Linked DNA regions of Sus scrofa. The protein of the gene in region 1 binds, or shares a complex with, the protein of each later gene. Links are inferred from orthologs where the notes say so. Each region holds a gene or a part of one and is shown on either strand. Other genes may lie near its edges.

Region 1 (3,652 bases):
GTCAGGATGCCTAAAATTAAACGGCAACCTCTTGAGAGCGCATATCTTTGTTGGTAGCTTTCTCTCACCCATTTCTGCTAAAATTCTGGTTGTGGGACCAAGGCGATTTTCATGAGCATGTGCTTTATAAAAGATAAACTCCCTTGACCAAGCAAAAACACTCCAATTAAACGTGATTTATGGGGCGGCTTCGCGAAGTTGTCCAGCTGATGGTATTTATATGTACACAATATCGACACTGAAATAGTGAAAAGGCAAGTCTGTTGTTACCTTTGTTTTTAAAGAGACTGTTTTAAACAGGCTTTAGAGAAAGTAACTCTTGGGAAACGGTTAGGAGGGATTGGTGAAAGCAAACTAGTCCTCATGGTTTTTCATTCCTTTTACATCTAGTTTTGAATGGAAAAGAAATGCTTTCACTTTCCTTTCACGCTCTCCGCGGTTTTTCTCCCACATTCACCTTCGGAGTTTCCTTCACCTAACAAGTTCCGACTTGAGAACTCGTCATACTTACTCTCAGTAGTCCTAGTCGCTCTGTTAGGGGCTTTGTTTCCTGTTCTCTATCTGCTTGGCTTGGTAAGGACAATCCTTAATTATAATAAAAGAAGCCATAGGGACCGCCAAGGCTGAGCAAAGACCCCACTTTCCTGACTGCCAAAAGGCCACTGCTCCGACCTACCCACAAGACGTGGCGCGAACTCCGTGACGTAGCGCGCAGCCCTCTTGACGCAGCGCGCAGCCTCCGTGAGGAACTCGCGCCCGTGGCCCCGCCCCGGGCCGCCGGGACCAGCTGCGCGCCTACCCGCAATCTCGCAGCCGCCGGTTACTGTGAGTCCGCGCCGTCCGGGGCCCGCCGCCGCGATATGTCGCAAAAACCGAAGAGTCGCGGCCGCGCCGGCACCCAGGCAGAACGGGAGCGGGACTGGGGAGGAGGCGGCGGCGCAGAGGAGGTCCCGAGCACGTCCCGCGGGCCTTCCTCGCAGGGCGGCCGGCGGGCCGAGGCCTCCCCAGCGCCGGGGCCCCGGTCGCAGAAGCAGCTGGAGCTGAAGGTGGCCGAACTCGTGCAGTTCCTGCTGATCAAGGACCAGAGGAAGATCCCGATCCGGCGCACCGACATCCTGAAGCACGTGGTCGGAGACTATAAAGACGTCCTCCCGGAGCTGCTCCGGCTGGCAGCCGAGCGCCTGGAGTACGTGTTCGGGTACCGGCTGGTAGAGCTGGAGCCCCGGAGCAACACCTACATCCTGGTCAACACGCTGGAGCCGGTGGAGGAGGACGCCGAGGTGCGCGGCGACCAGGGCACACCTACCACCGGGTTGCTGATGATCGTGCTGGGGCTCATCTTTATGAAAGGCAACAGCATCAAGGAGACGGAGGTCTGGGACTTTCTGCGGCGCCTCGGGGTGCACCCCACCAAGAAGCACCTGATCTTCGGGGACCCCAAGAAGCTTATAACCGAGGACTTCGTGCGGCAGAGGTATCTGGAGTACCGGCGCATCCCCCACACTGATCCTGTGGACTACGAGCTCCAGTGGGGCCCACGCACCAACCTGGAGACCAGCAAGATGAAGGTGCTCAAGTTCGTGGCCAAAGTCCACAATCAGGACCCCAAGGACTGGCCGGCTCAGTACTGTGAGGCTCTGGCTGAGGAGGAGGCCAGGGCCAGACCCCCAACAGGTGGCCCAGCCCCTTCTTCTTGAAATCTGAGAGACTCAGAGGGACTCCAGGGGGGGGTGGGGGGCGTGTGTGTGTGTGTGTGTGTGTGTGGTGTGTGTGCATCTTTCTGCTAAAGCTTCAATGTGCGTAGTTTTAGGATGTGTTTGCCGACTTATATTGCAAGTTCCTTGGTTCCAAATTTTCACCTATAAAAATATTAACGGACGATTTGTTTTGATTTATTGTCTGTGTTTTTTGGTATAAAAATCTCGCTAGCTTTCTAAAGCTAATTGGAAAACTTTGTACCATGATCTGGAAATAGATATTGAAGAAAGAACACGTCAGTAAGTTGCTTTGATGTCAAGGAAATAAAAGCACGAAATGGCTCTTACCTGGCCTCTTGACGACCCCACTTTGAAAGGAACAATAAAAGTCTATAAATTGAAACAATAAAAGTCTATAAAATGTAATTGCCTATATCCCTTTTTAAATTTAGCATAGCTACTTTTAGAATGTATTTTTTATGTATGTAAGCGTTATGAATCATTCTAAGTAATGTACATGCTGTATTTTTCCCAAATAACTTTACCTCGATAATTACTACTAGGTTGTGTGGCTGACTTTTAGTTACATTTATTTTTTTCCTTTTTTGGCTACTATAGTTACAATAAATACTGTGTTTTGAAGCAGCATTGTGCATTTTTTTAACCATAAGTCGAGAAATTAATTTCATGACTGAAAACAGGCATCTTAACAAAAAACACTTTTTGCTACATAGCATTAAGGTAAATAGTGTTTTGTGGAAATTGTTTTATTTGTGTATGTGCATATCACGATGTAAAATGTATTTCTTTCAGTGGGTTACAGAAAAGATAAAGCCATTAGTGATTAACCATGCCTACCTGGGAAGCAAACTATCTGGATTCAGATTCTACTTCTGCATAACTAGCTATATGAATTAGGCATGTTACTTAAGATGTATACAGATTTTTCCTCACCTGTAAAGTGGGTTGATGATGCCTGTATTGTGTGTGATGTGATACTTAGATATGGAAATATGTGTGAAGTTCTTGGCACAATGCTGGGTGTGGGGGATTTTAGTTGTTGCTCTGTTCCTTAAAAGTTTGTTTAAATATGTTTTTTATTCTTGGTATGGAGCAACAAAAAAAAATTTTGAAGGTTTTCTTTCATTATCTATTTAGTTTTCAATTTGTCCTATTATTTTGTAACTTTGATCACTTTGGTTAAGGTGGTTTCTGCCATTCCTCTACACTTTGAAATTTTCCATTTCCCTTTGTAACAAACAAGCAACTTGTGTGGAGACAGAGATTTTGTAAATATTGTATTCCTCACCAAAATTTCAGTTTATTCACTTTTATCTGTATAGATTCATTATAGTCTTTTATTGTCACGATTTATTTTGATACCCAAATTGTCCCTGTTTGCCACTGGGAGCATTTTAAAGCTGGCTTTTGTGTCTTCTACTTGCCCCCATCATTCTTTGAGCAATTCCATACTTTCTGGCACAAAAAGATCATTCAGCCTTAACTTGAATTTTCCCTGCCACAGACCTCTCAGCCATTTTCTCCAAAGAGCTCTGATTCCTTTTGGATGGAAACGAATTCAGAAACAAGGTTGCCAGGTTTCCTCATGCCTTCTAGAAGTATCCTTGCTTCTAGCCCTCTACATGACAAAGTTAGTCTTTTTGTCTATTTGTATATCTAGCTATCATCTACTGAAAACTATGACATTACATTGATAATAGCATATCCATTCTATACCGTAGTGTTTATTATGGTTTTCTCCCTTGTTCTATCTGTACTGTTCTATCTGTACCTAACTTCTCGAACAGTAAGAAATTCATATCCTTTAATCCTTCTAATAATTATTTGATCAATTGCCTGTAAATAACCAGTCTCTTCTGGCTGCCACACCCTCCTGTGTGGGATGCCCTTTCCTCCGTACTGGGAAGCTGACATCCCACCAGAACTGCCCTGGG
Region 2 (3,750 bases), on another chromosome or scaffold:
TGTTTGAGAACCCAGGGGTCTGGGCTCCGCGGGGCGGGGGCTGTTGGGAGGCGGGGCGACCTGGGGGCGGGGCCTCTGGGCCGTCCCTAGCGCGCATGGGCGGACGTCCTCCTCCGCTCTGTCTGACCCCTTCGATTTTCCGCCGTTGTCCTAAACGTTGCCGGGGCGTCATCTGAGCCATCAGTTCCCGAAATGTCTGATGAAAGAGATTCCCTGAGGTGGGGGGACAGAGAGAAAGGAGAGGAGCCGGTTGTGACCGTCACCCGCAGTGCGTACTCTGGCAGGCAGGCGCAGGAGGAGGAGGGGGAGGCAGGGGCTGATGCCTTCTCTGACGACCTCAGCCTTGGGGAGGCCGACATTGACCCAAGCCTCCTGGAGCTTGTGGACGAGGAGAAATGCCGGAGTATCCGCAAGCAGTACCGGCAGCTCATCTATAACGTCCAGCAGAACCGTGATGACATAGTGAACACGGCGAGCGACTCCTTAACCGAGGCTCTCGAGGAAGCCAATGTCCTGTTTGATGCAGTGAGTCGAACAAGAGAAGCCGCGCTTGATGCGCAGTTTCTTGTTTTGGCTTCTGATTTGGGTAAAGAAAAAGCAAAGCAGCTAAACTCTGATATGAGCTTTTTTAATCAAGTAGCATTTTGTGACTTTCTGTTTATATTTGTGGGTCTAAACTGGATGGAAGATGATGGACGTGATGTATTGAATGACTGTGATGATAATATAGCTTTTTCCTTCTGGGAGACAGTGCAAAAGGAAGCAACATCGTGGATATTGCAAGCTGAAACATTCCACTTTATTTTTGGTTCATTCAAATCAGAGCCTTCTTCTCGAAAGCCCCGACTTGAAAACCGGAAAAAAGTTCACAAGATGGAAGAAAATGGGGACATGCCTACAAAGCTGAGGAAGCTGGACCTGAGTAGTAATCAAGAAGCGACAGAAAAAGAAGTAGAAAGAATCTTGGGATTGTTGCAAACATACTTTAGAAAGTATCCTGATACTCCCGTGTCCTATTTTGAGTTTGTGATTGATCCAAATTCTTTTTCTCGTACTGTGGAGAATATATTTTATGTTTCTTTCATTATAAGGGATGGTTTTGCAAGAATAAGGCTTGACCAAGACAGGCTGCCAATATTAGAGCCAATTAATATGAACCAAGTGGGTGAGGGAAATGATCCCAGTTCCCATGGCAGGAAACAAGGGGTTATATCTTTGAGTTTACAGGACTGGAAAAATATTGTGGCAACTTTTGAAATTTCAGAGGCTATGATCACAAACTCATACTGAAGATAACTTGCTCTTAGAATGTATTTTGTGGCTTTTCTAAAGCATATCAAAACGGCTAATAAAATCCAAACAAAACACACATTGTATCTCTTGTAAAGTGAAAAAGTATTATCAATAACATCAGAAGTTGTGTACTGTGCAATGTGTTTTTCTTGGTATTTATAGAATTGTCATGATTTTCTGCTAACTAAAGAAATTCACTAGCATGTTTGTGGAAACTTTTTTTTTTTTTTTTGACTGTTCCTTAAGACCTTATTAAGAGAAGTTCTGAATTTTTTAAATTAAAAGGTGTTTGACAATTGCAAAAACTTAGTTATGAGGCTCTGTGATACTGCATTGCTTCCTCTGCTACAGGGAATCAAGGGAATTCCATATAGGCTCTTAACCAGGTTGAGGGAAAGAGTGGGTGAAAAAAAATGGTCTGGAAAGACTATCTGTAGGGCAGTGCATAAATACTGTAAAAAAATTCAGATGCCGTGCCTCATTGCAAAGAGGACTCAGCAAATTAGCAGGGATATCCAGATTCTAAAGAATTTCTCCTGTGATTGGACTCAGCGGAAGTAGAATATCTCTACTATAGTAGGTGAGGCATTAACTAAGTGCTGAGAGATGAGTAGAAATTGGTCAAAGATAGGAAAAGTATTCTAGCAGGGAAATATGGAGGCCAAATACATGGAATTGTAAGATGTTACGGTATCAGAAAGATTTATAAGCTTTTTCTGAACACTGTTCCATTTGAATGTTATATTGGGCAAAAATTGATTTACTTCATTCATCTGTTAATATCCTCAGAGGTTGAAGATCTCTGTCAGATTATTTCACACGCAAACTATTTTAACATCCATTTACAATCTCTATCTACTTAAATTCTTCTCTGGCTTCTCATTTTTCCCTTGTAATTTATGTTAGTACACAGTGATTCTGCTAGTATCTCAGAATCAGTGATGTTTCATTATGTTGCAGCCTTGAAATGTTTGTTACCATTTCAACTTTGTATTTCTCAATAGGGCTTTAAATGCCTGGAAATTGTCCTTGTTTAAATTTAAATATATGACTAATTTATCCAAATATTCTTCACTTCTTATAAAGTCAAAAGGCTTTATGTTGTTGCTTATAATTATTTTAAGAATATAAATTGCATTGTTATTTGGAGGCTACTGTTAGAAATTTGGGTCTTTAAGAAAACAATTTTTGAGTTCCCGTCGTGGCTCATCAGTTAGCGAAGCCGACTAGAATCCATGGGTTCGATTCCTGACCTCGCTCAGTGAGTTAAGGATCCGGTGTTGCCGTGAGCTGTGGTGTAGGTCGCAGAAGTGGCTCAGATCTGATGTGGCTGTGGCTGGCATAGGCTGGTAGCTACAGTTTCGATTGGACCCTAGCCTGAGAACCTCCATATGCCATGGGTGCAGCCCTAAAAGACAAAAAAAAAGACCAAAAAAAAAAAAAAAAAGCAATTTTTGAAGGTGCTGTGAGCATGCTTGTAAGCTTTTCTTGATCTCTAGAAACTTAATCTTGGGTCGTAGTGGGTCTTGCCATTAAACCGTATTTAGTAAGTGGGTAAGTATCTGCTTTGTTTAGCAGTAATGATAAACTTTACTGCCACGTCTCATGTAGTAAGGGAAGGGAAATCAAAAGGCTAAATGAATGACATTGAGATTGAGAGGTTCTTTAGTCTTAGTGGAGGGTTTTAGCAAACATAGGAATTTCTCCTGAGACATGGCCTATTATTTTCTAAACTAGTCGTTCCTTTCCCTTTTTTCATGTGAAGGGGTCCTCTCCCTTCCCAGTACCTACCACCCTTTGATCTAGCAGCTGTGGAGGCCTCATTTCGTCTGGCTGATTCTTCCTTTAGTGTGTCTTCCAGCCGCCCCCTTAGGTTTTCCAGAGCTTTGCTGTTTGGGGGAAAGATCTCGACGGGAGCAGAAAGATCTTGCCTCAGGTCTGCTCACCACCGGATGACTCTTTAAACACCAGGTGTCTTGACCAGGAGTGTTTGCGACTTGATGATTGAAAGCACATTGCGTAGCAGAGAACGGGGAGGCTTGTGAAGGAGGGCATCTTTGGGTCTCCTCTAAAGTTACAGCAGAAATAGAATTTTTTTTTTTTTTTTTTTTTTTTTTTTTTTTGCTATTTCTTGGGCCGCTCCCGCGGCATATGGAGGTTCCCAGGCTAGGGGTCGAATTGGAGCTGTAGCCACTGGCCTACACCAGAGCCACAGCAACGCAGGATCCGAGCCGCGTCTGCAACCTACACCACAGCTCATGGCAACGCCGGATCGTTAACCCACTGAGCAAGGGCAGGGACCGAACCCGCAACCTCATGGTTCCTAGTTGGATTCGTTAACCACTGCGCCACGACGGGAACTCCCCAGAAATAGAATTTAAGTTAAACACTTGTTTCTGTTTTTAACTGGTTGTCATGACACCTGGATTGCCTCATCACTTGGAAATTAAGCCACTA
Region 3 (3,678 bases), on another chromosome or scaffold:
ACGTCAGACCTATTGAATCAGAGTCTCTAGTGGACATGCTGAGGAAACTATTCTTATGAAGCACCCCAAATAATTCAACTATGAAGACACCGAGATAAGCACATCCCTCACAAAATTCCGATGTTTACCCTAACTCCCAGGTGATGATATATGGAGATGGGGCCTTTGGGAGATGATTAGATTTAAATGAGGTCATGACTTGGAGCCCTCGTGATGGGATTAGTGTCATTAGAAGAGGAAGAGATACCAGGGCTTGCTCTCTCTGCACCACGTAAAGATACAGCTCAGGTGGCCATCTGCAAACCAGGAAGAGAGCCCTCCAGTGTCCAGTCATCCCAGCATCATGATCTCGAACTTCCAGTCTCCAAAACTGTTAGAACTAAATTTCTGTTGCTTAAGCCACCAGTCTATGGTATTTTTTAACAGCAGCCTGAACTGACTAATACACAATGTATGAGGATTAATATAATCCAGGAAAAATGTAAAGTGTCTATGACGTGGTAGCCATCCTCATAATACGAATGCAAAATTCGCATTACTCCAATGAAACTTTACACTTGCAGAGAGGTAGGGAAAACTTCCTTCTGTAATTCTGAGGTATCAAGGGCAACATTCAGATCAAGAGGCAAAGAGAATGGCTGGAGAAGAAAAATAGAGTAAAGGCACTGTTCCCTATTTCTCCTGCTAACTACAGCTAAGGACATAATTTACAAGACAAATCTCACAACAAAGAATTATCTGGCCCGAAATGCCAATGGTGCAGTGGTGAAGAAACCCTGATTTAAACTCACCCCCTTCTGGAGCCTTCCCAAAATAACCGTGATTATTTTGTTCTCTGTCCCTCTGGTCTCAAAGAAAGTTTATTTATTCATTTATTTATTTATTTTGTCTTTTTGCCTTTTCTAGGCCACTCCCTCGGCATATGGAGGTTCCCAGGCTAGGGGTCCAATCGGAGCTGTAGCTGCCGGCGTACTCCAGAGCCACAGCAACTCGGGATCCAAGCCGAGTCTGCAACCTACACCGCAGCTCAGGCAACGCCAGATCCTTAACCCACTAAGCAAGGCCAGGGATCGAACCCGCAACCTCATGGTTCCTAGTCGGATTCGTTAAGCTCTGAGCCACAATGGGAATTCCTCAAAGAAAGTTTAAAGCAAGGTTATACACCCCCTGAGTTTTTCCCTAGCAGGTTATGTTGCCTACCCTAACAAGCCTTTGTCAGTTAGTGCTGTTTTAACAAAATACCACAGACACAGTAACTTATACACAATAGAAACATTTCTCAGTTCTGGAGAGTGGGTCCAAGGTCAAGGCACCAGCACAGTCACCCACAGACACAGTAACTTATACACAATAGAAACATTTCTCAGTTCTGGAGAGTGGGTCCAAGGTCAAAGCACCAGCACAGTCACGTTCTGATGAAGGCCCTCTTCCTGTGGTTCATGGCCAGGGCCTTCTAGTTCTAGCTCTGTGTTGTCAAATGGTAAAAGGCACAAGGGAGCAGCTCTCCAGGAGACCTCCATCCTCAAGATTTAAGCACTTCCCACATCCGCTCCCTCCTAATACCATCACCCTGGCATTCGGAATTCAACATATGGATGGGGCGGTGGGGAGTGGAGATAGGATAGAAACATTCATAAGATTCTCTCTAGATGGGGCCAATTATTAGGTAAAAATAAAAATATTTCTCTGTTCCCTCCTCTCATCTTTTTGTACAGAAAGTAATAAGCACAGATCAAATAATTTAAATACTGATACTCCTTTAAATTCTTAGGGGCCTACACAAGTTCCACCAGAGCTGTATCTTCTTTTTCAATACGCAAGGTTACATCTTTCTGAAGCCTTCTCTTATCCATACAAGCAACTGCTTGTTCTCTCCCTCATGCTACCACTATCCCTATCTCTCTCTCTCTTTCTCTCCCTCTCACACACAAACTTGTATTATAAAACTCACCACAATTATTTGCTCACATGTCTGCCACTCTTTCGCCCTGGAAGCAACTTAAAACTAGAATTCTGACATATTCTACTCAACATAAAACAGCTCCTCACACAAAAATAGGCAATCAAATAAAGATTTGGGAGAGTTACAGAATAAAAGAAACCGTCATTGCTGGGTCCCCTACAGTATGTTATAAACTGGTGCCCTAGGCTTTCTTCCATTCTCATTATCATTAATCCTACCACCGTTTATAGAAAAGGAAACTGATGCCCAGAGTTTAATTAAAGATCTTCCCAAGGCCCTGCTTAGAAAGCTAGCTCAAACTACATTTACTTCGATCAAGAATTCATGGTCTCACACTACTATATATAAAATAAACAACAAGGTCCTACTGTATAGCACAGGGAACTTTATTCAGTATCTCAATAACCTATAACCGAAAAATCTGAAAAAGTATATGCATAACTGACCACTTTGCTGTACACCAGAAACTAACGCCACACTGTAAATCACCTATACTTCAATAAAAATAAAAAAAGAATTCGTGATCTTTGCCCCTACGTACTGAGAACCCAAGGATGTAGAGACGGCGTCTTGGAGAGGGAGGTAAACGGCCCCTACCTCATTCCTGTGGCGTAAACAGATCTAGGACCATAACCCAGGTCCACAAACCACAGCTCAGGGCACCCGCGGAGCGCCCGAGAGGGAGACGACACCCCCCATCACCCTCCCCATCGCCATCCCCCGCTCCAGCCGTACCTGGCTCCCCGATGTACCTCTGCCTGGCTGCGCCCTGACTTCGCACCCCGAACCCCAACTCCTTCCTTAACTCCCTTACCCTGTCGCTGAAACAGCGAGCGCGGGCTCAGGCGTCATCAGTCGTCGACGGCGAGTGGTCACATGATGCCCCGCCCCACTCTCCGCCCCTTTGTCATGTGACTGCCCAGGGAGCCAGGGGCGGAAGCCGGGGTCCAGCCGGCTCTGGAGCCAGGGCGGGGGACTGAAGAGGACCCCTGCGGAGGCAAAGAGGTGGGGGCCGGGGTGCTGACTCCGCGCTAGACCGCCGGCCTTGCGCGTGCGCCCTGGAGCGGCCCGGGGGACAGGTGAGTCGGGGCGGGGTGCGCGCGCCTCCTCCTTTCACGTTCCCCGCCGCCCCGGGGCTGGGCCGCTCTGGCCAGGGGTGCTTCTGCGGCGTGGGGTGGGGTCTGGATGGGACAGCCTGGCCTGGAGGAATGAGGGTTTTACTGGGGCTGCGGCTGCGGCTGCGGCTGCAATCCAGGCTCTGCATCTCCACTCAGGTGGAAGCAATTTTTCACGCGCTTTGGCGCTTTAGAAAGTGATGTTCAGCTACTTGGCCAGCATCGTGTCCTTCCAAGTTCCTGGGAGCAGTGGTGTATGGACGTCGATATTTCTCCACTTACACTCAAGAAAATCGAGTGGTTGGTGCGGGCTTTTACAATCTGACGGACCTGGCTTTGAATTCTATTTCTGTCATGGACTGTGAGTTTGGGCAAATCATTGCTCCTCTTTTGCACCTTAATTCCCTTACCTATGACATATCAAAGTCCTTTTCATTTCGAGAAATAGTTCCGAAGGTCCTGATTTGTCTGTGGTCATTAACGAACTCCCCCGTTAACGGGAGCGACAGGCGCGGCGGCGGGGGCCGGGGGTTTAACCGAGCGGATAATGGATCCTTGTCTCCTGATTCCAAGTGTGTGGAACTTCCCTACACCATAGGT

What was found.
Region 2: NSMCE3 (region 1) and EID3 share a complex: the UniProt entries of both Homo sapiens proteins name them as parts of the SMC5-SMC6 complex. The link is inferred for Sus scrofa from reciprocal best matches to the Homo sapiens genes NSMCE3 and EID3.
Region 3: NSMCE3 (region 1) and NSMCE2 share a complex: the UniProt entries of both Homo sapiens proteins name them as parts of the SMC5-SMC6 complex. The link is inferred for Sus scrofa from reciprocal best matches to the Homo sapiens genes NSMCE3 and NSMCE2.

What each region holds. Positions count from the first base shown.
Region 1 is NC_010443.5:144,471,129-144,474,780, reverse strand, and holds the start of NSMCE3 (non-structural maintenance of chromosomes element 3 homolog), read left to right. Parts: upstream 1-754; 5' UTR 755-860; coding exon 861-1,697; 3' UTR 1,698-3,652. UniProt on the Homo sapiens protein: Component of the SMC5-SMC6 complex, a complex involved in repair of DNA double-strand breaks by homologous recombination. The complex may promote sister chromatid homologous recombination by recruiting the SMC1-SMC3 cohesin complex to double-strand breaks.
Region 2 is NC_010447.5:80,220,966-80,224,715, reverse strand, and holds the end of EID3 (EP300-interacting inhibitor of differentiation 3), read left to right. Parts: 5' UTR 1-192; coding exon 193-1,290; 3' UTR 1,291-3,382; downstream 3,383-3,750. UniProt on the Homo sapiens protein: Tissue-specific component of the SMC5-SMC6 complex, a complex involved in repair of DNA double-strand breaks by homologous recombination.
Region 3 is NC_010446.5:14,595,287-14,598,964, forward strand, and holds the start of NSMCE2 (E3 SUMO-protein ligase NSE2), read right to left. Parts: upstream 2,907-3,678; 5' UTR 2,778-2,906; exon of another isoform or gene 2,699-2,777; intron 1-2,698. UniProt on the Homo sapiens protein: E3 SUMO-protein ligase component of the SMC5-SMC6 complex, a complex involved in DNA double-strand break repair by homologous recombination. Is not be required for the stability of the complex.